Linked DNA regions of Rattus norvegicus. The protein of the gene in region 1 purifies or fractionates together with the protein of each later gene. This does not show direct contact. Links are inferred from orthologs where the notes say so. Each region holds a gene or a part of one and is shown on either strand. Other genes may lie near its edges. The genes, in order: Wdr77, Gar1, Ctdp1, Lsm4, Sirt7, Coprs and Clns1a.

What was found.
Region 2: the proteins of Wdr77 (region 1) and Gar1 purify together in Homo sapiens (affinity purification with mass spectrometry; 3 studies listed by BioGRID and IntAct, with this or other methods). This does not show direct contact. The link is inferred for Rattus norvegicus from reciprocal best matches to the Homo sapiens genes WDR77 and GAR1.
Region 3: the proteins of Wdr77 (region 1) and Ctdp1 fractionate together in Homo sapiens (co-fractionation; 3 studies listed by BioGRID and IntAct, with this or other methods). This does not show direct contact. The link is inferred for Rattus norvegicus from reciprocal best matches to the Homo sapiens genes WDR77 and CTDP1.
Region 4: the proteins of Wdr77 (region 1) and Lsm4 purify together in Homo sapiens (affinity purification with mass spectrometry; 3 studies listed by BioGRID and IntAct, with this or other methods). This does not show direct contact. The link is inferred for Rattus norvegicus from reciprocal best matches to the Homo sapiens genes WDR77 and LSM4.
Region 5: the proteins of Wdr77 (region 1) and Sirt7 purify together in Homo sapiens (affinity purification with mass spectrometry; 3 studies listed by BioGRID, with this or other methods). This does not show direct contact. The link is inferred for Rattus norvegicus from reciprocal best matches to the Homo sapiens genes WDR77 and SIRT7.
Region 6: the proteins of Wdr77 (region 1) and Coprs purify together in Homo sapiens (affinity purification with mass spectrometry; 3 studies listed by BioGRID and IntAct, with this or other methods). This does not show direct contact. The link is inferred for Rattus norvegicus from reciprocal best matches to the Homo sapiens genes WDR77 and COPRS.
Region 7: the proteins of Wdr77 (region 1) and Clns1a purify together in Homo sapiens (affinity purification with mass spectrometry; 6 studies listed by BioGRID and IntAct, with this or other methods). This does not show direct contact. The link is inferred for Rattus norvegicus from reciprocal best matches to the Homo sapiens genes WDR77 and CLNS1A.

The regions. Positions count from the first base shown.
Region 1 is NC_086020.1:196,130,382-196,133,881, reverse strand, and holds the end of Wdr77 (methylosome protein WDR77), read right to left. Parts: intron 3,154-3,500; coding exon 3,082-3,153; intron 2,464-3,081; coding exon 2,355-2,463; intron 1,895-2,354; coding exon 1,826-1,894; intron 1,096-1,825; coding exon 936-1,095; 3' UTR 29-935; downstream 1-28. UniProt on the Homo sapiens protein: Non-catalytic component of the methylosome complex, composed of PRMT5, WDR77 and CLNS1A, which modifies specific arginines to dimethylarginines in several spliceosomal Sm proteins and histones.
Region 2 is NC_086020.1:221,053,950-221,058,093, reverse strand, and holds the start of Gar1 (H/ACA ribonucleoprotein complex subunit 1), read left to right. Parts: upstream 1-1,344; 5' UTR 1,345-1,601; intron 1,602-1,839; 5' UTR 1,840-1,851; coding exon 1,852-2,071; intron 2,072-3,458; coding exon 3,459-3,613; intron 3,614-4,069; coding exon 4,070-4,129; intron 4,130-4,144. UniProt on the Homo sapiens protein: Required for ribosome biogenesis and telomere maintenance. Part of the H/ACA small nucleolar ribonucleoprotein (H/ACA snoRNP) complex, which catalyzes pseudouridylation of rRNA.
Region 3 is NC_086036.1:76,187,409-76,191,708, forward strand, and holds the start of Ctdp1 (RNA polymerase II subunit A C-terminal domain phosphatase), read right to left. Parts: upstream 2,801-4,300; coding exon 2,487-2,800; intron 1-2,486. UniProt on the Homo sapiens protein: Processively dephosphorylates 'Ser-2' and 'Ser-5' of the heptad repeats YSPTSPS in the C-terminal domain of the largest RNA polymerase II subunit. This promotes the activity of RNA polymerase II.
Region 4 is NC_086034.1:18,788,967-18,791,886, forward strand, and holds the end of Lsm4 (U6 snRNA-associated Sm-like protein LSm4), read right to left. Parts: intron 2,550-2,920; coding exon 2,508-2,549; intron 2,114-2,507; coding exon of another isoform or gene 2,034-2,113; exon of another isoform or gene 1,540-2,033; intron 1,533-1,539; exon of another isoform or gene 1,513-1,532; coding exon 1,414-1,512; intron 1,337-1,413; coding exon 1,156-1,336; intron 898-1,155; coding exon 806-897; 3' UTR 501-805; downstream 1-500. UniProt on the Homo sapiens protein: Plays a role in pre-mRNA splicing as component of the U4/U6-U5 tri-snRNP complex that is involved in spliceosome assembly, and as component of the precatalytic spliceosome (spliceosome B complex).
Region 5 is NC_086028.1:106,398,699-106,402,698, reverse strand, and holds the start of Sirt7 (NAD-dependent protein deacetylase sirtuin-7), read left to right. Parts: upstream 1-1,200; 5' UTR 1,201-1,220; coding exon 1,221-1,316; intron 1,317-1,382; coding exon 1,383-1,520; intron 1,521-1,623; coding exon 1,624-1,728; intron 1,729-4,000. UniProt on the Homo sapiens protein: NAD-dependent protein-lysine deacylase that can act both as a deacetylase or deacylase (desuccinylase, depropionylase, deglutarylase and dedecanoylase), depending on the context. Specifically mediates deacetylation of histone H3 at 'Lys-18' (H3K18Ac).
Region 6 is NC_086034.1:82,422,151-82,426,279, forward strand, and holds the start of Coprs (coordinator of PRMT5 and differentiation stimulator), read left to right. Parts: upstream 1-1,329; 5' UTR 1,330-1,355; coding exon 1,356-1,424; intron 1,425-3,758; coding exon 3,759-3,825; coding exon of another isoform or gene 3,826-3,829; intron 3,830-4,129. UniProt on the Homo sapiens protein: Histone-binding protein required for histone H4 methyltransferase activity of PRMT5.
Region 7 is NC_086019.1:161,437,169-161,440,668, forward strand, and holds part of Clns1a (methylosome subunit pICln), read left to right. Parts: intron 1-1,246; coding exon 1,247-1,383; intron 1,384-1,390; exon of another isoform or gene 1,391-3,500. UniProt on the Homo sapiens protein: Involved in both the assembly of spliceosomal snRNPs and the methylation of Sm proteins.

The DNA.
Region 1 (3,500 bases):
ACCTAAGCAAAGCAGGTAATAAATAAGCTTTGGAGGAAAGATGAAAGGATAAGTCTTTATTTCACCTTCCAGTATTTTTGACAGTTTCTCTGATGCCGGATCTTCAATCTTAGGAGTCCAAATATACAGCGCTCAGACTTCAGCTCTCCAGAGCAAAGTACCCAGATCAGTCCTCAGGGAATTTTTAGGTGGGAAAAATGACAATGACAGATTTCTCTGTAACAATCCATGTCAATCTTCTCGCTTCACTGAAACACTTTTAATTTAAGTACTCCATCATCCCTAAAACTGTGAAATCTAGGACAGGAAAGCACTCATCTCTCATACACAACACAAAAGAAGGAACACAGGGTGAGCGAGCGCGAACTCCAAGGGCCAAATTGATTCACCCAGAAAGTGGATTTGATTCCATTTAACAGGCATTCGTACAAAACTGTTCTGTCTTCTCAAGGTAGTCTGGCTAGACTTTTGTATATGGGAAGTAATTCCCATATAGTGAATTAAACTCTATATAAAAATAAGTTACGCACCTCTGAGTAATGTGAAGTATTCCCAAGCATCCAGGGATACCCACACTCCATATCCCTAACAACATAGTCAGCCCCCAGACATGGGAAGCATAAAATCCTCTGGTCATTTTGTCGGGGGTAAAGAGCATTGCTTTGGGAAAGCTGAAGGATAATTTTCTCCACTCCAAACTATACACTGCACTCACACGTGTACTCACACATACATCCATTTATAAAGGAAGCTTTTTCCTCCAAGTCACTATGGGATGCAGCCTCCCTCAGGCTGAGAATCTGACTAGTTACTGCACGGGACTAGGGAGTAATCATGCTCTACAAGGCTCCTGTGCTCTCTCTCTCACAAATGGAAGGCAGGGGCAAGCGAGTCGACACTTGCAGACAGAAGGCTCTTTTCTTCTGCAATCCATTCTACTCCACAACACTGTCAGGTCCAGGGGCTGGGAGAGGCTCTAACGGCACAACATGGTGGATGACCTGATGGTCCCAGCCAACTGTGGTAAGAAGGGAGTGATTGAGTGGAGACCATGTAGCATCTCTCACAAAGTCTCTGTGGGCTCGACTTCTAAACCTAGAACAAGAGGGGAAAATGTGGTGTGGTAAGAGAAAAGATGAAAACCCAGGAGGAACGATTAAAAAAAAAAATTAAAAAAAAAACTAATAACATACACTTATGACACATTTTTTGAAACATTTCACCATCTACACAGCCCCATCACCAGGCCAGTGGATGTTAGATTATCCAATCCAGTCTACTTTCTTAGGTGAAGAAATGGTGGACAGAATCGGAAGCAATAATGCCCACAGTCAACAGGAAATTATGGCAGAGGGACACACCCAGGCCTTCCATCCAGTGCTTTACAGCAAGTTCCACTTCTCAGAAGTGGCGCCCTGCATGAAGCTGGAGCGCTTGGTAAACAGCCTACAATCAGACAGCTTCCAGCACTCGGTCTTAGACACACAGCTGCAAACAGAGACGACTTGGGGGAGGGGATATCTCTGCAGACAAAGATGAAGAATTTTCTTGTATTTATACTTATTTTTAATAATCTCCATGTGGGTGGGTGTGCAACTGAGTGCGGACGCACACAGGTATCATATGCATTGGATCTGGAGTTACAAACAGCTATGTACAGACTGATGCAGATGTTAGAAACAAAGGTATTCTAAACTGCTGAGCCATTTCTCCAGACCCAACAAAGGAAGAATTCTACATGCATGTTCCTGAAGAGAAAACAGACTTGCTTGCCTACTGGTCTTGATCCCTGATTCCCGACCACAGGATTCTACTTCAAACTTACACCTCAGAAAAGCTTGAATCCAGCACAGCAAGTGAACAGTCTTCACTGAGAGAGGCCAGGAAGGGAACACTAGGAGAGGACACAAAGGGAAGAGAAGATAATGCCCATAGGTTCTACAACCGAAATCTAACAGGGCCAGCCCCAACCCCACTGTAAAGTGAGCCGGGGAGAGGGCAGTCTGATGCCCACTTTGGGTTCAGATCTTACCACCATTACATCCAAGGAAGATGGAACAGAGCCAGTGCTCACGGAAACCAACCAGCCCAAGGGTCCTCCCTACATTAGCAATTACCCACCCACAGGCTCTGAGCAGGAGTGAGATTACATCTTAGGTCTTTCCAAACTACACAAACCAAATAAAGACTATCTGGACAAGCTTAGGAAAACCAGGTTAGAGTACTGCCCTATCTGAGGTCCAATGTAAGCAGCTAACGCTTTGCCAAATAGACACATCCCTGTATCACTCCACTCCTACTCTTTCATTACAGTCCCCACCCATCCCTTCCAGGTTCCTGGTAACAAACAGTACCTGTGTGGAGAGAACACCAGTCTAGTGACACACTGCGAGTGCACAGCTGAGCTGAGGGTGCAGCTTGCATTCTTGGTGTCCACAAGGGAGACAGATCCATTCTCATCACCTGTAGAAGAAAGAGAGCATGTCACAGTGGTTAAGAATTTATGATTTGGGCTAAGTAGCACACACCTTTAATCCTAGTATGTGATGAGAGGCAGAAGCAGAAGGATCTCAGAGTTCAAGGCCAACTGGGCCTATCACGTTCTAGGACAGTCCAAACTACATCTACATACAGACCCTGTCTTGGCTGAAGGGAAAAAAAAAAAAAAAAAAAAAAAAAGCCATAGACACTGATGTCAGTCAGATGGGAGATTTGAATGAATCCTAGTTTCTCAAGATGTAGACAACAGTTTCCTTTGTGATATAGAATCAGTCAGTCACTATGTGGCTGTGAATTACTGGATAAAGTTATTACATTAACTACAAACTCTTGCCATGTGTAGTCACACCACAGCAGAACATAGTTCCCTAACAGCAAGCACTTGCTATGCAGCTCACTGATTTCTAACCATGCCCAGAATAAAGGAGCTGAAACAATGAAGCAAACCTATTAGGAAAAAATGATGGTCTCCAAAGCTAGGTAAAACCGACATAATCCATGCAGTGCCCAAGTGTGCTGACAGGAGCATGTACTCCAAGGTATCCGCCCCATTCCCAGAGTCGATACGTCATGCTGCCTTACCAAAGACAAAGATTTCACTCTGCTGAGGATGCCAAGCCAGGGAGGTAGGGAGGTAGCCAGAGGCATTGCAGCCTGGAAGGGAAAAAAGGGAGATTTGGAACAATGGTCACAACCTAGAAGAAGCTTCTTCCAAAAGAAGTCAGTAAATCCTGGGAGCACTTTCACTGAGTTTCTTAAAGACTGCCAGAGCAGTCATGTATGTCCTCACCCCTGAGCCTACACCTACATCTACCCATCCATCTCCTGCCATCTCCTGTACAACTAAAAGCACAAGACATAAAAATAATAACCCTGACCCTTTGCCCAGCTGTTTGCACAGTAAACTACACATGGAAACTAACCCTTACTCTGGGTACCCCATGCACTGTGGTCAGCAAAGTCTCAGTGAGACAGAAAACAGTGTTGTCAGAGGGTGGGCA
Region 2 (4,144 bases), about 25 Mb from region 1:
AATTCTAGCATGATGGGGCAGAGGGATGGCATGTGCACACACTGATTACTAATCATAGACTCTAGACATACTGCCAAGGGAAAGTGCAGGGCTATGGTGGGCATGGGCTGAGTATGAGACTGTACAAGACAGCCATTTTATTAAGTTCACTATATCACCAAATGCAGCACAGACGCAAGAAGTTAAGTCAACAGGTATTTATTTAGTCTGGAGCCCAGAATGGGAGATGTTGCCTGCTGTGATGTTTGAGCTTCTGAATTCTTATGAGTGATTTGGAGTGACAATGAAAAAAGGTAGCAGTGTTAAAAGGCTGTACTCAGCTGATGACAATGCAAAGGTACTTCACAGGAATCACGAGAAATCCATCAGGTTTGATTAGAGACTGCCACAAACCTAGAATAGAGGTAGGGATAGTGCTGATTTATGTATATATATATATATACATATATACACACATATATATGATGTATGTATAATTGTATATGTAATAATTATTACACATCTTATAATTTAATATTTTATAATTGCATGTTATATTTTACTAGATATTATATATGACTGGATATATATATCCAGTTACATTTATATTTAAAGTACATTTGTATAATTTTTTTATATGTGGGACTAGTGTGTACTTCTTCAAGAAGTTTATAGTTTAGGGTAAATGGCATACTGGAATTCTTAATTTACAGAGATCTTTCAAAAATTTATTCACAATAACCCTCAGATACGGGGATCATTCTCTACTTTCTTTCAAGTAAAAAGTGGTATTGTCAAATGCCAAGAGATGTTTCAGACAATACAGATACAAAAGAAGTCAACCAAATTTAAGAACTAGAGGTCACTTCTTACGAGCGAAGTTTTAGTGATGTAAGGAAACCGATGTCAGAGATGAGAGTGTTAAGGAGGCAGGAGGTGAGGTGTAATCTATAGAACACATTCTCTAGGTGTTCAAAGCGCACTTGATGAACGAATGAATACACTCAAACAATAGTAAAAGATGGTTGCCTTTCTGTCAGCTCAAATACAAACACACACCCTTTCCTAATTAATAACAGGACACAAAAGCAATAAAAAGAGAAGGCAACTGGACCCTGGGCGGAGCACGGCTCGAGTGGCCACACTCCGTGGAGCAGAGTCAAGTCGGGACCTTCTCGCAACCCAAGAAGTGACAGAGCCTGGCGAGTGGCGCTAACTGCACCCAACACGCCTCACCGACCAAAGGCCTGACCAGCGATTAGAGCCGAAGAACCCAAACCACCCCTGTCTCCAAGGGCAACGCGGCACCACACTTCCGGAAGCGTCGAGTACGGAAGGCGCTGCTATTTTGCATCATTTCCGCCACCCCTAGCGAGGTGGACCTTGCGCGGGTGAGGTGGGGGTCACGCTGGGTGCTATTGTTTCTCTTCCGGTGCTGTATGCTCTCTTCGGGAAGGCATTAGGACCGTTGCGTCTAAGTAGTGACAGCCTCTTCCTGCAAACCAGCCCTTCCAATATCTAGTCTGGTAAAATTGTACCGTACGGTGGCCGAGGAGGTTTAAGCGCGCCGGAAGTATCGCTCCGCGCGCGCGCCCAGCTGAGCTAGAGACGCACGTGGCGCGGTGAGTGCGGCGGAGGGCAAGATTGTGGGAAGCAGCGGGTTGGGATAGGGTGGCGAGGCATGGGCCGTGGGGCTGGGACGAAGACACCCCTCTCTCCGCGCTCGCCACTGGCTATGTGGGCGAGTGGCGGGCGGCGTTCACTGCTGTCCTCTTTTTGGTGTTTCGAGCGAGGCGGAGGGGAAATAGATAAATGATCAGCCCGCACTGACTGGAAGGAGCCGGCCGTCTATTTCACCAGGCCGGAGAGAGCATGTCTTTCCGAGGCGGAGGTCGCGGAGGCTTTAATCGCGGTGGTGGAGGTGGAGGCTTCAATCGTGGCGGCGGCAGCAACAACCACTTCCGAGGGGGCGGCGGCGGTGGTGGCGGCGGCGGCAATTTCAGGGGCGGCGGCCGAGGAGGATTTGGACGAGGGGGCGGTCGTGGAGGCTTCAATAAATTCCAAGATCAAGGGCCTCCAGAACGAGTCGTCTGTAAGTCGTCTTCAAAGCTTAACCTCCTTTGCAATGGGAATAGAGTCCGGTTTATGTTATTCACACGTTTGATAATAAGTCTCCAAAAGGCAAGTCGGGTTCCCTGACAGTCATTTCATAGCATATAAGGAACCGATCATGAGAACGGAAATGCAGCGTGGAGGTGAACTTGAATTGGGACAGAGAAGTAGAGACTTAGACAATATTGAGTACCTAGGCATTCTAAAGGGCAGAAAACCATTCAGGATTAAGTGTGATTCCCTAATGACATAATTAAAACACAAACCTAAGCTTTTAGCTTCCATAGCTCATGTTTTCAGTTACCAAAAAGCAGGGGAAATGAAACCTGCTTGGGAGAAGGCAAAAGAAAAGAAATGCCCAACTAAAGTAATTTTGAGTAATTATGGGAGAGGTGGATTGGAAGTCAGCAAACGTAAGGGGGAAGTGGTGGATCTGTATGCAGGATGAATTTGCTGAACAAAATGACTAAAGTCAAGGGGACGTGTAGTAAGCCATATATATAAGGTGTTGAGATCTGTGTTTGAAAAGGTGACAGGAGGAAAAGGGGAAAGGTAGGAGATAGGTCCAACCTTTTTAATACTCTGCGTCACATTGACATCACAAAATTCACACTCCACATAACCATGCAGCCTAGTTAGCACACACCGTGCACACACACAGTCCCTTGCACAACCCTTCAAAAACATGTTGTAAATAAGTGTACCGTTTTGTGTTGGGCCACATTCACAGTTGTCCTGTGTTCCATGCAGCCTGAAGGCAGTGCATTGAACACATGGATGGAGAAGAGATTTCAAAAGACACATGACACATAGAACTTGACTAATACTAAGAAAGGTTCTAGCTGTTGTTAAGGGTAGGGAGTTACTTTGTAGGTATATGGTATTAATTCTGGGTTACAGAAACAGGTGTACTTTGAGTTCGCATACTTCCTGAGGAAGGATAGTCATTGGTGAAGAGGTGGTAGTGGTGATGAGTTCTGAGGAAGGAAGAAGCAATCAACAAAACCAGAGTGGTTCACAGTTTGAGGCTGGGTAAAGAAGGGAAAATCAGTGGATTTAATGCAGTCATAACAGCCTTGACAGGGTAACTGTTGTACATTGAATGAGTGCTGTTGTAAGCACTGTGTTTGTTGTTCCTGTTGCTTAAGTATCAGGTGTGGCTGCCGTTAGAGGTGACTAGCCTCATTTTACAGTGTACAGAGAGAAGGGGGTCTCTTAGGTCCCATGGTAATGACATGCTAACTTAGGACTACAGGGTTGGTGACTGAGCTGTGCTGGAGAGGGCATCAGATGCGGGGAAAGACAAGCGGGGAACTCCAGCAGTTGGTCAGTATTTGAAGTGGTTCTGTTTTCTTGTGCTGTTTCAGTATTAGGAGAGTTCATGCATCCCTGTGAAGATGACATCGTTTGTAAATGTACCACAGAAGAAAACAAGGTGCCTTACTTCAATGCTCCTGTTTATTTAGAAAACAAAGAACAAATCGGGAAAGTGGATGAAATATTTGGACAACTTAGAGATTTTGTATCCTTTCTGATTGTATGAGCCAGTGATCTTGTTAAGGAATTACTGTCCCTTTTCCTCCCCAGCCAGTTAAATATCAAAGTAAGCTAGCAAAGTTACAGATGGGTCACACGGAGAATCTGCAGGGGAGTGCATTCATTCATCCGTATTTATATGAAGTGATGCACCAAGGAGAGAGGACTGTACTTTGCGTTTTGGAAGTGGTAGCCATTTGGATGAATGCCACTGGGTTGTATTGGCTCTTCTGTTGCTTTACACATAATGAGTCCCTGGTAGCATTAGGGTTCGAGGTATTGATTGTGAGTTTTGGGGTTTGTTTTTTACTTTTAAAGAAATACCAATTTCTTTTGGAAATTTCTTTCTTCTACCTAGGCATTCTTTTTTAAAATGGTTAAACTCAAAAGTTTAATCTTTTTGCATTTTTATTTCTTACTTGTTCCTTAATGTAATTGATAGTATTTTTCAGTTAAATTGTCAGAAAACATGAAGGCATCTTCTTTTAAAAAGCTACAGAAGGTGAGTCAAACTTAA
Region 3 (4,300 bases), on another chromosome or scaffold:
CAGTTCTGAATCCACCAATCATAAGTCTATATAAAGTGCATGTTGTGGGTGGAGGTTAAGAACCACCATACAATAATCACTCTACAAAGGTTTAATGCAAATGTCAGTAAATGTTGGCTCTCCCATGTGATGTTAAGAATATGAATCTGCAATCCAGCACTGACAGAAGTGGTGCTGCTAGACGAACAGAACTTAGATCATGAGCAAACTTCCAGGACTGCTCAGATGAGTTCATTATAAAGTAGTCTTGAGTGTGATTCTGAGACATGCTCAGAAAGAAGCAAACTTCTAGGGCTATCAGGCTTGGTTGCTCCTTCCTGACACCCTCCCTTCCTGCCCCCACCTGGGGTGAAGAAGTTCTGTGATGGAACAGATGCTGGATGAGGCTGCACCAAAGCCAGACACAGAAATCTAAAAACGGAAGGCTTTGGCTCAGCGTACGCGGTGTGTATGAGCCAGACGGGTCTTTGCTGACCAAGGTCTACCAGTCATGGCAAGTCCAATTCAACACCAGGATCCAATGGTATCTACTACTCTCTGTTTTCTCAAATAGAGACATACGGATGCCTTTTAGAAAGACTTCCTAATATTCAAATCCCTCATTCGAAATGCTGGAGACCAGAAGTGCTGCTGTTTCAGGACTATTTGGAGTGTGGCGTGTTTGCACAGGACTCACATGCCAAGCACTAGAAAACACAAGAGCATCTATGCCCTAGTTTTAGACCTTGGAATATTTTAGATTTTGAATGTAAGATCAAGGACACTTGGCCTGTATAGCGAAGTTGTGGGGGAAAGGCCTACTTAGGTGTAACTGTGTGCTACAGAAAGCCTGTAGGGACCATGGATGATGAACTCTGTTGACCGACCGCTGCCTGCCCTGCACAGATCTGCTCAGTGGGATGCTGCTCTTCAGGCTGTGCCTTGTGAAGACAATTCTGTGCATGGTGATCTTTGTACAAAGTGACTCAATCCAGTGATTTCTTTTTAAACTTTGTTCCGCAAAAGTATGACAGGCATTTTGGGGGAGGCCTAATTGGTGTCCGGAAGAGCCAGTGGCTGGGGAAGAAAGTACTACCCTTCTTATGAGCCCTGGGTCCACGCCCAGACACCTATGAACGCCCTTGACATTTATTACAGAGAAACTATCAGGACTGACACAGGGAATACAAATGGAGCTAAGTCCAGGCCTTGGAACTTGCTTCTTCCTGTCACCCACGTACCTTCAGGTATACAGGAACAGTACAGGAAGCACACATGTCAACTCACTACACTCCTCCCCAGAATGCTGACAAGATGCTGTCCACAAATGCACATAACAGGAAAAGGGAGGGAAGCATTTTAAATAAAGTGATGCTGCTAGTGACTGTCCCAGAAGCAGGAACTCACTTGACACCACTGGACTGGTAGCCACTGTGAGTCACCCAGGATCCCAAGAATCACTTCCAGAGGAAGCCAGACAGACAGGTCCCTCAGAGTCAGTCCCAAAGAAGCAAGTTTTCCTGGTGGTTGTGCAATCCAGCAAACCAGTGGGCAGGGGTACGGATAGGGTCCACAAACCAAGAACCCAGGCAGTATCTCCAAGAAGCACTAGGGGGAGTTGACCAGGAAGACAGCCAGGCGGGGTTCTCGGTCTATGACAAGATCAGTGGAAAATAGAAATTTTCCTTGTGGAGAATGCTAGACAGGAAATACTCAATAAAGAAGAGACTTGACCAGTCCAAGAAGTGAGCAGTGGGCATCAGAAAAGGAGCAGAAAGAATAGTCTTCAAAGAGAAGTTCTCAGCCCAACCCACAGTAGGCAGGAGCATTCACTTCTCCCAGTAGTTTTTGTTCTTAGCAATCAAAACAATCACAGCCACGTGACCCACATGCCCACGTGTTAATTTAGGTTCAAAACACAACCCTGGCAAAACTCGAACATAAAACTGGACAGTGGCAGATCGAACCGAACCAAACCAAGATCCTACAGAGACAGGACACAAGTTTGACAACTAAAGAGTCCTCACAGGACTTCGAGGACCAAGTACATCACCCGATACAGTCTGGGTTCTGCCCTCTCGGTGGCTATGTTGCAGAACCACCGGGTTTTTACAACGGCGTTTCACAAAGTTTTATAAGCGTTTGTAGAAACACACACGCCCGACAGCTTCTATTTCTGTAACGAGCCTGGAACCTGCCTGAGTAGTCCCGCGGCCACAGCCACCCAAGTTGCCTTCACTTTACAAAGGTGGAGTCCACCAATTACAGAAGAGGGACGAAGGCAAAAGATATCCCAAAGGGAGTAGTAACCTTGGGTCACCGAGAAGTTTTCAAACTCAAAATATCTCAGGGCTGGCAAAATCACTAATGGTGACAATTCTTTCTATGGTCTCACCCCGCAGCCCCTTAGCGTAGCTTTCACGCCCAGTCTGTGACTGTAGCCAGAAATCCACCCCACACCCCCGACATCCTGAGAGCCCGGGTGTCCCTTTTCTCAGTACACTCACCCAGGGGCCACCACCTGGCCTGGCTGCGCACACAGTTCACGGACCACGCCGGCGCGCTCCGACCTGAGCCTGCGCTCTGTCCGCGAGGCGCGCACGCAGCCCCCAGAGGCCGCGCGAGCCGGGGCTGGCCCTGCGGGCTGCGCGGAGACTGCGGCTTCGTACACTGCCAGCACCGAGCCAATGCGCACGGTCGCGCCCGCCGTCACCTTCCACTCCAGCAGACGCAGCGGCGCGGGGCCCGGGCAGCGCACCTCTGCCCCGGCCACCGCCGGAGTGCACTCGGTGGGAACGCCGGCCAAGGGCGGCGCTTCCATCGTGACCCAGCGAGCGGCACGGACGGTCACAACAGAGGTGAGAAACGAAAACACCGGGCGCTCAGGGCGCGGCGCCCACCGCGGGCGGCGGCGACACTGCTGTTCCCGCTCCGACACCGGCTTCACCCGCCGCTCGCTGCGCACCCACTTCCGGGGGGCGTGCTGCGTCATGGAGGGCGGGACAGGCGACGTGCATCCGCGTGACTGCGTGCGCTCAAGATAAGGATAAACACTCGGCCCTCGCGGAGCCAAGAGGCGCTGGTCCACACCTACGGGGCGCCAGTCCGTGGTATGGAGACTACAGCCATGTCACGCGGACCGCTGTCACAAGACTTTTGTCACACACTGCTAGTCCTGACGCATCAAGACTACCAGTTCCGGCATACAGTGCGTGTCTATGGCAACTCCCGTCGTACACTGCGAGTTCCAACCACAGGAGTCTTCTGACGCCGGCATTCGGCGCGGACCGCTGTATTGGATAGTACATTGTAGTCCTGACGTCAAGAGAGACTACCAGTCCCAGCATGCATCACGAAACTCGGTCCCACCTTTCCCGTCGTGCACTGCGAGGTTTTCATGGAGAAACTATAGGTCTCCCTCCGCAGAGCGGTCCGTACGCCTGGAGACTTTGGGTCCGGGTCTTGCTCATCCTCCCGTCAAGCACTGCGAATGCTGGACTTAACGAGACCGAGTTCCAGCGCAGGTCGCGGCCTAGACTCGATCCTTCTTTAGCCGGCTACGCAGCAGAGAAGTGTGCGCAGTGGCTGCTTGCAACTGCGGCGCTTTTCAGAGTGGAGTTTCTAGCATTAGACTGTGGATTAAGGATGTCCACCTCGCCTGCTCGCTCCTCCTGGGGCTGCTGTGCACTAATTACTCATCAGATCCTGCTTGATGCACATATCAAGCCTACAAATGGGAGCCAAGAGACACTCTGACTGGGGATTTCGCAATTCCTGAAACCTTTAAAATAGCATTCTCATAAAACTTGAGTGGATGACCTGAGGTGTGAACATGTTTGTATCAAGATGCGTATACTCGTGACTGCGTCTTCTGCAAATCCAACAGGCCTTTGTTGTTACGGGTTGTTTCAATGAATTGCCTAAACTGTAGCCTATAGCGTCCAAGGTGCCTGGTTTTCTAGGGAGAGGGCTCAGGTGCCACGCCTGGGCTGGTGGTCCTGAGTTCTAAGATGGCCGACTGAGTTAGCCAGGAGAAACAAGACAGTAAACAAGACCCTCCGTGGCCTCTGCATCAGCTCCTGGCCCTGGTTCCTGTCCTGACTTCATTAAATGTGGATATATATGCCAAATAAACCCTTCCCTCCCCAATCTTTCTGTTTCACCAACTCTAACCCTATATATGCACACGTGTAGCAATAGTTACCTTAACTAAGACAGGCAGCCATGTGGAAGTGTAAGCAAAATAGACCCTTTCCCTCCCCAGTTGCGTTCAGGCTTAGTGTTTTATCCCTAACCATCCCAAAGACACCAAGTAAGGATT
Region 4 (2,920 bases), on another chromosome or scaffold:
TTCCAACAGCATCTTCTGCTCCCTCTGGGAACCAGGTATGCATGTGCTGGGGACACACACAGATGGACACACACAGATGGACACACACACACACACACACGCACACAGTCTCTCTCTCACTTGCACTCACACACGTCCCATGGTGTGTTCTCCCTAGGTGCACTTTCCCTGCAGTGTGCTGGGTTTACTCAGGGTCAGAGCTGTTCTGCTTGCTGGAGCAGCCTGCCAGCCGTGGCCTTAACCTCCCACACTCTTGCCTGTCCCCGAGGGTCAGCCATCACAGGCTTGGCTTTTTAAGGGCTTTGTAGCCCCAGCTGGCCTAAAACTTCTGGCTCTCCTACCTCTCTGCCCTCTAAAAGTGTTGTCTGCTGCACTCTCACCTCTGCTGGCAGGACACACAGACAGCCCCACACCCAGGGAACAGCTTCCTCTGGTGAGACAACCGTGCTCAGGGATTAGGACTGTAAGTCGGGTCCGTGTAACCAGAGGGATGGCTGGCTCCTTCTGTGGTGTTTGCCTTTATTTTTTCCAACAGAAAACGTAGGGGGTGGGGCTGGGAAAGGACAGGTAAACCACCATGTGCGGAGCCTGCAGCTCCAACATGAAACTCAAACAAGCCTGGAAGAAGCCAGCCCTTCAAAGGACATCCAAGGCTTAACAGTCAACTCAGACTGGGAACCTTCCAGAAACTGAGTAAGTGGCCAGTCAGGGATTTCACTGGATCAGACGCCAAGTGGGGCTTCACGCAAAGGCGCCCGGAGGTCTCCTCACCCACCTTCCTGGACTCAGTTCAGGCTGGGACTGCTCACTGCTTGCCTGCCTGCCGCCCTGGCTTCTTCTCCGGCTGGCCTCGGCCTGCACCAGGGATGCCACCCCGGCCCCGGCCACCAAACACACCTGCACAGGACAGAAGAGGTAGAGTAGACACCAGCTTCCCTGGGCAGGGACAAGGATCTTCCCTTCTATGCCCTACGCCACTGTGCAAGGGGCCTGTGGGAGATGCCAGGTTATACTCAACCTGGGAAAAGAGCCCTCCCCTCCCCAGCCCAACAGGAGCCCACACCACTATGTCCTCCATGGAGACTGTACAGGGTGCAGAGAGGAGAGTGTCCAGGTATCCCTCCCTTCCCCACCTCGCCCTCATCGTGACCCTACCTCTGCCAGCGCCACCCATGCCTCGGCCTTTCTGCTGCTTCTGCTGCTGCGGTCCTCCTCGCCCTCGGCCCTTGGCGGCCTCTTCCCTCACCATGTCAATGATCTCATCCGGGATACGCAGGTACTTGATGGTGCTGCCTCGGATGTAGCACTCGGGCATCCTCCAGAACTTGTCACCGTCCTGTGGAGAGGGGAAGTGTCACAGGCAGGCACAGTCCATCCAGGCCAGCCATGCACCTTCCCAGCGTAACCACTCACCCTCGATGTGCAGATCACTTCTCGAAGGTTGATGTTCATCCAGTTGTCGCAGCTCACCAGGTGCCCGTTGTAGGTCTCCCCATTCTTCAGCTCCACCAGCTGCAGGAGATCCCGTCAGCCTAGGCCAAGCAGCCAGGGCTCAAACACACCCGGCTTCACATCCCAAACTACAGCTTTCTGTGCAACTAATCAACCTTTGAGGCTGGGCTGTCATTCACCTGCAAGTGCTGTGATGAGCAGGCACCACCCAGGTTCCCTACCTAGTGTGTGGACAGAGACAATTAAAACTCCACACTAGGTAGGCATGGCGACACACACCTGTGATTCCAGGACTCTGGTGGCTGTGACAGGAGGATAGTGAGGGGACAATGGGCAAGCCCAGTCTGGTCACCTATAGGAAGAATATTACACAGCCAAGAAAAGGATGACTCAAAACCTCTGAGTGACACGGAGCCAGCCACACGCTCCTCACTCAGAAATGTTCACAAGATGCAAAGGCAGGTGCAGAGGGTAGGTGGTCACAGGACACAAGCAGCCAGGGCTTGGGGTGAACTTGACATGGGTGCTGACAGGTGTAAGGCTAGGCTCTGGCTGTGTGAAGTCTAGGGACACACTGCCTATCAGAGGCAGCGCTCCTGTGGTTCCTCCAGTCCCGTAGCATTCAGGGCCAAGTCTTGGCTACGCAGCCATACTGCTGCTCCTTTTCAAAAAAAAAAAAATGGTTCAACCAGTGGCAATCCTCCTGCTGCAGCCTCCCAGGCAGCTGGGATGACAGGTGACCTGTCTGTGCTGGGGACTCTTGGGATGGGACAGGGAATACATGGGTTGCACTGTGCCCCAGTTTCTTCCTGACACTACTTTTAAAAGATTTTCCTTAGACATTTTACTTTGTATTGCATTTCTGTCTGTGTGCAGAGAGGGAAGCCATGACTCCCTTCCACCATCGTGTGAGTCCTGGGGATTGAATTCAGGTCCTGCAGCTTGGCAGCAGGCACCTCTACCCACTGAGCCATCGTACCAGGCTTCAAGCGTAAACTGCAAAGGACTAGGGTGAGGGCACATGAAGGGAGGTGGCCCAGAGTAGCCTTGCTTACCATGGGGTGATTCTGGGCTGTCTTCAGCAGCGACAAGGGAAGCTGGAAGGCAAATGTCAGTGTGAGGAGTGTCCCCCAATTCAGGGACAACCTGGGCATGGCTACCCAATGCACACGGCTGTGTGACCTCGCATCATCCCATTCTACAGGTGTTGGCCACCTGGACATCCCGGACCATTTTGGTCATTTCTCCACAACTCCTGTCACCTAGAAACACAGAAGGGGGCACAGTCCAATGTGTGGAGGTAGCAACCTGGTAGGTTTTCTGAGGCAGAGCCTTGTCATACAGCCTATGCTGGCCACAGCCTTCTGAATGCCCAGGGCTGCACACCTGCCTGGCATTTCTGCTCCACACCCTGTACCTGTGCGTCCAAAAGGGATGATTTGAGTCCCCCGGGTCCCAGGTGGGAAGG
Region 5 (4,000 bases), on another chromosome or scaffold:
GCTACAGCCCACTTGGAGATGGTGAGGCCACTTCCCTGCTACCTCCCTCTCTGGTGTGGCCACTTGGCCAAAGCTCCCATCCACAGCTGGGGTGTCTGAGCCACAGCCTGCTACACTGTTTCCGCTCTGGGATCTTCTGAGTTACTCTTTTAGGCTGTGGTTTGGTGAAAGGAACCAACACATTAACGATCCCCCCCCCCCCCAAAGCCACTGAGTAATTCTTGGCATGTTTTCTAAGTGCTGTTGGCTGCCTGGTTTGGGAGCAGTTGTGGAGAGGACAGACTTAGTACCACACAGAGGCATGGGTGTGCGAGCTGCTCACAGCTTCCTTGTTTCTGGCATGTGTCCTGGGTGCGTGCTATACCTCCCGGGCCAGCTGCACACCTATGTACTCTGCCCCTGAGAGGTAGAGTGTTCAGGAAGTGTCCCTGATAGATTCCCTGTTCTCTGTGGCCCCAGTTGGGCTTTTGGCTCCTCCAGCAACTTCATGCCCCAACCCTACCTTTCCTCCCATTTCTTTCTGTCTGCTAGTCCCTGAAGCCTTTAACCAAATGGGAATGGGTACAGAAAGCCTTCTCCTGGCAACTTAGGGCAACAGGACAAGGGCTATTGTGTGTCCAGCTCTGTTGGTCTCCTGGTGCTGAGAGGTGTGTCCAAGCAGAGTTGATCAGCCCCTGCCTGCCCTGCAGGGCTGAAGCCAGGGGGAGGTTAGTAGAGAGTACCCTAAATGGGGTGAGGGTCCTTAAACATCCAAGTGAGGAGGGGCTGTTGTGTGGCTGCAAGGTGAGACCCTGTCTCCAGCACCTGGGTAGGGCCATCGGGGATCTGGCTGCAAGGTGAGGTCTGGACTTGGCATCAGTGCAGAGCGATCAAGTCACCTGGCCTCAGCAGGCAGCAGCCTTGGTGCCCACCCGTGCCCTGCGCAGTATTTATTGCTAAATTATTGTCCAGGAGGGGCGGCACTGGGCCTGGCCCCCCGGGTATTTATTGCTGTACATAGTGTATGTTTGTGATATATAAGGTTTTCTTTATTTTGTATATGATCAATAAACGCCTTTTAAAGAGATCTGGTGGTGTTTCTTTGAAACGTGAAGGAGCAAGGGAAAGACCAGGATAGGAAGGGCGAGCCGGAAGGGGTGGGAAAGGCAGGGCGCGCGCATGCGTCTTTGTAGCTGCCGGATGAGGCGGAAGCGGAAGCCGGAAGCGCAGTCCAGGGAGCGATGGCAGCCGGTGGCGGTCTGAGCCGCTCGGAGCGCAAAGCGGCTGAGCGGGTCCGGAGGTTGCGGGAGGAGCAGCAGCGGGAGCGCCTCCGTCAGGTAAGCCACTGCCATGCCCGCGCTCGCGCCGGCACGCGCAGTCGCTCACCTACTGCTCGTCCGTAGGTGTCACGCATCCTGAGGAAGGCGGCTGCAGAGCGCAGCGCGGAGGAGGGCCGGCTTCTAGCTGAGAGTGAGGATCTGGTGACCGAGCTTCAGGGTCGGAGCCGGCGGCGTGAGGGCCTCAAGCGCCGCCAGGAGGAGGCGAGTCGCGGGCAGCGGGTGCTGGGCTGTTGGCTGTAGGCTATAGCCTGTAGCCTGTAGGCGGTGGGCTGCGGCCGGAATAACCAGCTCTGGCTCCTGTCAGGTGTGTGATGACCCAGAGGAGTTGCGGAGGAAGGTCCGCGAACTAGCCGGAGCTGTCCGAAGTGCCAGACACTTGGTTGTCTACACAGGCGCTGGGATCAGCACGGTAAGTGACGGCCTGCACATTGCTTCAGGTGTGGGGCGCCCCCTTCTGGGGCACAAACTTGGGCTGTTCAGTGCTGGAGTTCAAATGCTCTCTCACCTTTGAAATAACTTCAAGGTGTCCTTTCTCGGAGATCCGGAACAAAACAATTCTAGATTTAAGATTTAACTAAGGCAAAGTGACCAAGGTGGCACATGCCTTTAATCCCAGCACTTGGGAGACAGGATCTTTGTAAGTTCAAGACCAGCCTGGTCTGCATAGGGAATTCCAGAACAGTCAGGGGCTAAAAGATAAGTCAATCAATAAATAATAATTTAGCTAAGTCAAAGAGTTTCAGAATGCTTAATTTATGAAAGCCAGTCAAACACGGAGCGGTAGTAGGATGTAGTAACCAAATACTTGCTAATGGCTTCTCACTTAAAGTGGAGACATTGATCCATGTGAATAAATGAAAAACCAGTGTCGAGTCCCAAATCTCTAATCTCAGGACTCAGGAGGTGAAGCCTGGTAGGGGAGGAAGCTCAAGGTCAAATGCTTGAGGCCAGCCTGGCTCAAAGCTTGATGCAAGACCCTGTCTAAAAAAAAGAAAGAAAGAAAGAAAGAAAGAAAGACAGAGTCACACAGTACAACAGGTACAAACGAGAAATGCTGTGCTCCTGACTCTGAGAGATTTCCTGGGCTGAGGGATGACTACCTTTGAACGTGTGACTGTATCAGTACAATCATGTGTGAGTGTGGAATGAATGTTTGACCCAGGTGAACAGTTTCTATTCTGAAGAAGCCCTAAAGTGGTCTGGTGAGATGGCTCAGTGGGTAACATGCTTGCTGTGCAAGCATGAGGACCTGAGTTTGAACTCTTAGAATGCATATGAAGAAGCTAAGCAATACCACACCCCTGTAACCGCAGAACGGGAAGATAAGCTGAGAACCCCTTGAAGCCTGCTGGCTAGGCAGCCTGGCCAAATCCATGAGCTCCACGTGTAGTGGAAGGTGGGGGTGGGGGCTGTGAGATGGCTCCCTGAATAACTAGGCACTTGCTACCAAGCCTGGTGGAGTTTGGTCCTCAGAGCTCACACAGGAGAGGACTGACTACAAGGAGCCTTCTGACTTTTCCTTGTGCTCATGACCCTTGCACCTCCCTCCCAACAAATGTGTTAAAAAAAAAAAAAGTAAGATGGGCATTGAGATTCACACACCAACACATGTAACATGTGGGTCTACACACATGTGCACAAATGCAAAGACATATACAAACAGACAAAAGAAGACCTCTGTTACAAAGGTATAGTCCAAAACCTACTACAGGCTCAGACATAAAATCCTTAAAGCTGGGAAACCCTTTGGTGGCCTTGCTGCTGGAGTGGCATCTTGGGCTCTTGCAGGGAAATGTGAGGGCAGGAAGCATGACAGACAGACAGCAATGACCCAGGAGCAAAATGAGGAACATTTGCTGCTCCAGCTCAGCCATCTGGGGCATAAGCATTCCAGGCCTAGCCCTTCATAGCCCTGCGATGATCCAGCTTTGGCTTTACAGCAGTGACTCTACAAACCTGGTGGTTAACTAAGTTCTGCTCGCAGCTCGTAAATGTGACCTAAGCACCATTTGAGGTCCTTCCCTCTGTTGGAATTACCTGCCAGGGCAGGCGCTTCTCTGAGCTTAAGCAGCAGTGTATACAGGGCTTTCCCAGCCAGGATCCAAAGACTCCCGGCTCCTAGATTGTTTTGTTTGTTTGTTTGTCGTGGGAAATTACTTAACGCTTACCTGGTTTTATGTTAGGTTGGAATGAAAACCTCAGAGCTGCAGGATATAAGTGGACAGAGGACCCTCTCCTGGGGTCACTATTTGCTAAATAGTGACCTGAACTCTAAAACCTGTTCCTTCGGACACTGATGAGCCTAAACAGTTTCCCCCTTCTGTGTTCAAGACAGATGTGGACACAGCTGCTCAGTGCTAGCAAGGACCCTGAAGTAGGGTAGGGTTCTTTGGTATTCGAAGGGTGAGCTGGGGCTGGAGAGATGGCTCAGCGGCTAAGAGCACTGACTGCTCTTCCAGAGGTCCTGAGTTCAAATCTCAGCAACCACATGGTGGCTCACAAACATCTGTAATGAGATTCAATGCCCTCTTCTGGTGTGTCTGAAGACAGCAACAGTTTACTCACATATATACATAATCTTTAAAAAAAAAAAAAAGGGAAAGGTAAGGTGGCCCAGACAGGACAAGAAAGTCACTTGGATGGAAGGAAAGAGCCATAGTGGGGTACAACCCATTTGGGGA
Region 6 (4,129 bases), on another chromosome or scaffold:
CGTTGTTTTCCTCCGTTGGAAGCTTGCATAGCATCTTCTGGAATCATGAAAGCTGATCCCTCAGGGAGGAGGCTTTCAGCTAAGTTCCAGTCAGGGGCCTCTGGACCCTGCGTTTAAGTATATGGTGTCTTCAACCGTAGGAACTTACTTTTCACCTATGAAGGTCAGCCAAGGGCAATAGCAAGAGCCTATAATATATTGATAGTCGTCTCTTGGACAACCTTCGCCAGCAACTTAAAGGGGTGTATTCACGCCTGGTCTTGGGATTTTTGTTAGACGGTTGATGGCTCTTAAAGAAGCACTGTTAGCCCAGGTGGGAAATTTTCATCTCTAGTATTTATGTCTATGTATACGCCAACTTATATGTGTAGTAGACATGTGTTGTTGCTGGAGTTTAGGCTGTTGTGGGGGAGCGGAGGCAGTAAAGGCTGTCTCTGCAGCTGGGTTGTTCACACACACACATACACACACACACACACACACACACACACACACACACACACACACACACACACACACTGCTATCTCCAGCTAGCCGCTGACTTATGTTTTTGAGGTATTAGGGGGAAACCAGACTGTACACTGTAGGACTTTGACCACTAAAGACAGCTTTGTCAGTTTCTATCACCCAACGGTTTTGAACTGCGGGAAGGGGGTTGGGGGAGGGGGTGTTAACAACCCGTGTCCGAAGTTAGGTTAGTTACCCGTACTCAATATGCCAGTAAAAATAGCCAGATTAATCATGGAAAGACGAAAATGGAAAACGGAGAATTATAACGGAGAATTATTCAACATAGTCACATTACTGACTTGGAGCACTGGCTTTGACTCCAAATTCGATGACACACCACGTTTTGTGGTGGCACGTAGTTTGTTTTGATCCTTTATCCGGGTTCCTAGCGGATTGGCTTTAAAGACTATCCTTAAATCAAAGCAGCAATTCTCCAGGCTGCTGAGTTACTCATTAAGAGATGCTGTAGTGCAGGTGCAGAGGGCGATCTGGAAAACCGTGTGATGGGGAAGAGCGAAAGTGATGGAGCCCAGAGGCTGTGACTGTGTGACAGCCGGGTGGGCTCTATATGCTCTCGGGTCATTTCACACTGCGGTTGGGGAGTCCCGGGTGCCTAGGAACGCTCAGTGGCCAGTCTGGCCTAAGGCTCTTCTAAACCAGCGCTTGAGGTCAGATAGGGCTGGAAAGCCTGCGGTCCGGAACAACGCAGGTGGGCGTGTCGTCCGGCGCTGCCCCTGCGCCGCCCCGCCCCCTCGGTCGCAGCGCCGCGCCGATTGGCTCGCCCGCAGCCTGTCAGCCGTCACGTGTCGGAGCGTCCCGGGCGCCTGGCTGTGGGCGGCCCGGCATGGACCCTCAGGCAGCCACCGGTCCGGGGCCGGGCGAGCCGAGTGCATGGGAGGCCCCCAGCGCGGAGGTGAGCGCCACGGGGTGGGGGATGCGGGCACCCGCGACCACCCGGGCTGGAAGTCGAGGGGCTCGAGCGCTCCGGAGAGACCGCTCACCCGGGAAACGCCGGGGCCGCGCGAGTGCGCGCAGAGCCTGTCCGGTAACGGCGGTGGGCGCGGAAACGCGCGTGGACCCGAGCCCTAGGCTGTGGCTGGCGCGGGAGGGAGAGAACACCGGGGCTTCTCGGGAGCTCCTGCGGGAGTGAATGCAAAGAACGCGGAGCTGGCCGCCCCGAGCTGGTTCCAGCAGCAGGGGGCCGGGTCAGGCGGGAGCGGCGAGGAAACATCTTTTTTTTTAACCTTACCTTGAGGACCTCTGGCCATTGATAGGGATGTGCCGCTGATGTCACCCGTGCTTTTCCCCATTTGACAAAACGAAAGAGCCCGTCGTGTTACGGGGTTTCCAGAAACTTGTTTTCAAGTGCCCGCCAATGCAGCCTTTTCCCACGACCTGCCCTTATTGCGTCTACCTCTCCAGTGACTTCTTGACTGTAGGCATCCTTTTTACCAGAAGCCACGCCTGTACCTGGCACAACGTATATGCTAATTGGGTGTATGAGTGGAATGCTTACTTGGACATCAGTACTTGTACCATCAGATGGTACTTGAAGCGACAGCACCAATAGATTTGCAAAGAAAATTACTTTTGCAAAATAGAAAGTCAGGGCGGAGCTGGAAAGGATGTTTTTGGGTGAGAAGGTAGGCCCAGCAAAGGTCTGGATATGAGAAAGTACGGGGCAAATGGCCTTGGAGCTTGGGTCGGAGGGCAGGCCTTTTTCAGGAAGAGGACTGTGTTCAGCAAGTTGAGGAACGTGAGAGGCAATATGGATGCCATCGCCAGTCTGTGATGGCAGCAGAGGGCCTGTGAAGGTTTTGAGTGGAGGAGTGATTACACTTGCTAAGAGTGAGCAGGAGTAGAGAGATGGGCATAGGTTCACATAAGACGTTCAGCTCCTAGGGGGGCAACAGTGGCCCATGGTTATCACTGACTACAAGAGATGAATTGAGCTGTTAAAGCTCAGGAGTGACTAGATAATGAACGCTAATTTGGGTGAGTGCTAAGTACAGTTTACATGCAGGATGAAGGGTGCTTAAGGCCGGAGAGACAACCTTGGTGGTCTTACAGAGTTCGGCTTAGTTCTCCGCACCCACAACAGATGTCTCAGCCCTCTGCAACTCCCTCTCCAGGGATCCTCCTGGTAGATTCGCACATACAATTATATACAAATAAAGTAAATATATAAATAAATAAATAAGTGGATTAAAGTCAAAGAAATGTTACCTCCTTGAAGTCTTAACAGGTGGTTTTGTTATTGTTGTTGGCTTTATTTTATTGTAATTTTTTTTTTTTTGAGATAGGGTCTCATGTAGCCTAGGATCTGAGCTCACTTTGTGGCCAAGAATGATCTTAAATTTCTGACCCTTCTGCCCCTCCCTCCTAGATGCTGGGATTCTGAGTATGACCCACCTGTAGTATGTTATGTAGGGTTGGAAAGTCAGTGTGGAGCTTTGTGCACACAGGGCAAACACTCTCCCACTGAGCTCTGTCTCCAAGCCATAGTGGATGTTTTATGAATGTCCCTTCATCATAGGACCCCTCCCAGGACATAACAACCATTTCTGTTTCTAGAGGTCACACCCTGAATGAATGGCAGGGCTAAGACTGAATGAACTCTGCCTGACCATCCACGCTCTGGACATTACGGGTTCCACTGCAGAGAGATCTTGGGGGGAATAAAGTTTGGGGAACTTTGAAGTAACAGGGCATAACATTCCTGGTTGGCAGTGGGGATTAGGTATTCCTTCCAGTGTTTAGAACTCAGGCGGCTTCCCCCATGGACCACTGCGGGCATGGCTTTGTTAGGAGTTGTTAGACATTGAGACAAAGAACTGAAAAAGGCAAAGGTTTGCAGAGAAGTTGCAGGATCGGGAAACAGCAGTCAATCCTAGCCAAGAAGAAGAGAGATGAAGTTAGGGCAGTTGAAGTGTTCATAAACTTAGAGGAAAGAGTTTCCACAGACCTGAGGTTACAAACTGAGTCCAGGGAGCTGTCCCATCTAGCCTCAGGGTCTGTGAGCTTGGGGAAGTCCTGCTGCCCAGACTTCTGAAGAGGGCCCAGGGGTGAGAGCAAAGCCAGCATCTGTCAGTTGGCCACTGCAGGAGGGCACACCCAGTGGTCAGAGCGGAGAAGTGCTGCTGGGTGATGCCTTGCGCAGGGCAGTATGGGAGGGAGGGTTTGGGGCTTCAGAGCAGTGACACGCCCCACATACCCAGTTTCCTGGTGATTATTTCTTCTTCCACAGGCTGGTCTTGCCACAGCTGACCTCTCTGGTGGGGAGACAGAGACTGAGCTAGACGTGGACCGACTAGGCAAGTAGACGGTGGAGACTGGGGTGTCCCCTGGAAGAGATGGAGGGAAACAGCACGGTCCCTCTGTCTTGTCTGTCTTCTCGTGTTGGCCAGCCCTCTTTGCCCATTGTCTGAGTGGAACTGTTGGTTTGCAAGCTTCCAGGAGGTACTGGATGCCCGTGGATCCAAACCACCCCATTTCACTGGGAGGAACAGCTTGAGACTATGAAAAGCATCTGGTGTGTGAAGCTAGGAAAAGTCTCCGTTACACATCCAGGTTGAGTTAGAAGATCTGTAGTGATGCTACCCAGGATACTCGCCACCG
Region 7 (3,500 bases), on another chromosome or scaffold:
CAACTTTAATCCCAGCACTGGGGGCAGAGGCAGAGGCAGGCTGAGTTCAAGGACAGCCAGGGCTATGTAGAGAGACATTGGCTCAAAGAAAAAATTCATGGGCAACCTGGGCAGCTGAGGCCAACATGGGCTAAATATTAAAACTATCTTAAAATAAGGGGGAATGGGGATGTGGGGGTTGGGGGAGCAGGGGAGGAGAAAGTGGAAAGGATATAGAATATAAGTGTGTTCTGTAGAACCACATCCCCATTCCCTTCTATTATTTCTTGTATGGGAGTACACTGTAACTGTCTTCAGACACACCAGAAGAGGGCATCAGATCCTATTACAGGGAGCTGTGAACCACCATGTGGTTGCTGGGAATTGAACTCAGGACTCGATGCTCTTAACCGCTGAGCCATGTCTCCAGCCCCTGTGGCTTCCCTGTGGCTTTCTCTCAAAGCTGGTAATAAATGGGAACGTTACCTTGTCTCCTAAGGCAATAACAATTTTTTGAACTGTGATTGAAATCACAGCTGCTTTGTGTGTACATCATTTAATGTATGATGAATGGAAACGTTGATTACCAAGCGTCTGTTGCATGCTTACCTACTGAGAACTGTGCTAACATTTTTGAGGAATGTTAAATGAAGGGATGGAAGTAGGAGACTGACAAACAGGATCTGTTAACATACATGTGTGCATGTGTGTTACTGAGCTGCAGTGTGAAACAGAAGAGGTTCCTGTGGAAAAGAGGGCTCATGGAGTTATTTGGAACTTGTCTAGATGAAAAGATCTCACAGCAAAGAAGGTAACGGAATAAGCATGAAAGACAGACAGGCAGGTAAGGGCCGAAAGCTGTTAAGAGCACACGCTGCTCTTTGGGAAGACCAGAGCTAAATTGCCAGTGACCACATTGGAGTTCACAGCCTCCAGCTCCAGTAACTCCAGCTCCAGAGGATCTGATGCTCTCCTCTGACCTCACCAGTACCCACATATATGTGCGCATGGAGGAAAAATAAACACAGGTGACTTGAAAAAAACCTGCCTCTCAAATTGTTTGAACTTATAGCTAGAGGAAAAGAAATCATAGAAGAGAAAATTCAATCCTTGTTGCTAAATTTTCTTATTTTAAGAATATTTCTAATATTGTCAATAAACTTAAATTTCTATGCATAAAACTGTCTGAGTTGAACCTTTATAAACTTTGGGGTATTAAGTTAGGATTTAATTTCTAAAAATAATCTGCGTAAAACATGTTTTTCAGCCGCCTGTCTTGGCTAGATGGTTCTGGATTAGGATTCTCACTGGAGTACCCCACCATTAGTTTACATGCGGTATCCAGGGACCCAAATGCTTATCCTCAAGAACATCTGTATGTCATGGTGAATGCCAGATTTGGAGGTATGTATGCTATAACTCAATCCAGTGCTTCCTCTGATAGTAAAGTGCATTTTAGAGGGCAGTGTTTGTTTGTTTGTGATGAGGTCTTCAGGTTGCTCAGGTTGGCATTGCACTCCTGGGCTTGAGTAGAATAACAGTCCTCATTCTCCTAGATGCTGACACTTTAGTTGTGTGCTTGGTGCTATCTGAAAAACAGTCTTTGACAATACTCAATGTAAAAATTAAGCCATTGGCCCACATTGGATAATAACATATTAAGCCAAGTTAATTACCTAAAACACAAGCGCAAGGCCCTGGGTTCGGTTCCCAGCTCCAAAAAAAAAAAAAAAAAAAAAATCTAAAACAATTTGACTACTTGAATTTCTTCTAACAGGCATATATTTACACTTAGAAGTCTTCTCTTAATATGGTTATATTCCAGGGTTGGGGATTTAGCTCAGTGGTAGAGCGCTTGCCTAGAAAGCACAAGGCCCTGGGTTTGGTCCTCAGCTCCGAAAAAAAGAAAGAAAAAAAAATATGGTTATATTCCTATTTTTTAACTGCTTATTCCTTCTCCTTCTAAAGGCATTTCAGAGATGTGAACCAGTATATTCTATCTTTCAAAAATTTAAGATAGATCGTATATATCTATTTTATCTATTTTATTTATTTTGAAGATGTGCATTAGGGAGAGGGTTGAGGGTTGTTGCCCGAATTTATGTCTGTGTGCTACTGTGTGGGACTGAGGCCAGAAGGGGGTGAATATTCCCCTAGAACTGGAGTTACAGCCTATGTGCATGTGTCTGTGTGTGAACATATGCTACCTGTGTGGATGCCTGTAGAGGACAGAAGAGGATTGGATCCCTTGGAGCTTGAGTTACTTCAAGAACCGAGCTTCTAGTAGCTACTTTTCCACTGCTGTGCCAGAGCACCAGCAGCTGAGGAAAAGGCTGTTCTGGGGGTTAGAGTCAGTGGTGGTGGAGCAAAGGCATGAAGCAGAACCAGTCCCACCCCCAGTAAGCAAGCTGAGCCTTACTTGCCAGGCAAGTTATTTTCTCATGAGTCTCAGTTTTCTTAAAAACTCAATCTCTAGAGGATTATGTTAGTCTCACTTTCCACGTGGCCTCGTCTCCTAAAGATTCTGTTAACCCCAGTCGTACCTCTGGCCGGTGACTAAACCTTTAACGGTAAAGTCGGTTGGAAGCCTGGATGCTGCTGTTCTTTGTTTGTGCTGATGCTCAAACCCAGGGCCTCCTTCCTGTACTGGGTAAGGGTTGCACCTGGCGTACCAACCATTTCCTAAATTTCTTACCATCCACAGCCTTAAGGGAGATTCCTGAGACAATAAGCAATTGTTAACAGTGGTTATTTCCAGGGTATAGATTCAGTTCAGTATAACCATGGAGATCTGGGGTTGGGTTCTCAGCATCCACATTAAAACTGCACCTTTGCCCCAGCAGTGCAGGAACACAGATGGATAGGCAGATCCCAGGGGTCTGCTGTCCAGCCAATCTCACCAAAACAGTAAGTCCCAGGTTCAGGAAGAGACCCTGTTTCCAAAAAAAAATGGCGATCAAAGGCCTGGGCTCAACTTAGGGCTTTTTTATACATGTATATAAGCGAGCATACCAGTCACACCTGCATCTCTATCTCCCTCCCTCCTTCCCTCCTCTTTTCCTCCTACCGCCCATGCCCCACCCCCACCCCCAACACACCGGTGGCTATTTCTGGGAAGAGGATCTAGATGCTAGGCTCTGTCCTCTGCACTTTGAAATATTGTTACTCTAGACTGTGTTATTCTTACACAGTTACTACTGTACTGTAGTTACAATTACTGTTGTATGTGTAGTATGGTGACACATTGCTTTTTAAAATGCATCAACAAAGTTTGGAGCTTGTGGCTAATTCAGTGATTTAGAATTTTTCAGTATGTGTATTATTCTGCTGAATAATTAAAGGTACGTTTTTAAACAACATGTCATTGGAAACAGCACAGAAAAGGTATTATCAGTGGCCAGAGTTTTTTCTTTTGCTTGTCTATTTTTGTGCTATTGTACACTGAACTTGTACAAATCAGTACTACACTGGTGGATGCCTCTTGTTTACTGTGTCAACCCTACTGGATGGAGAGACCCCAC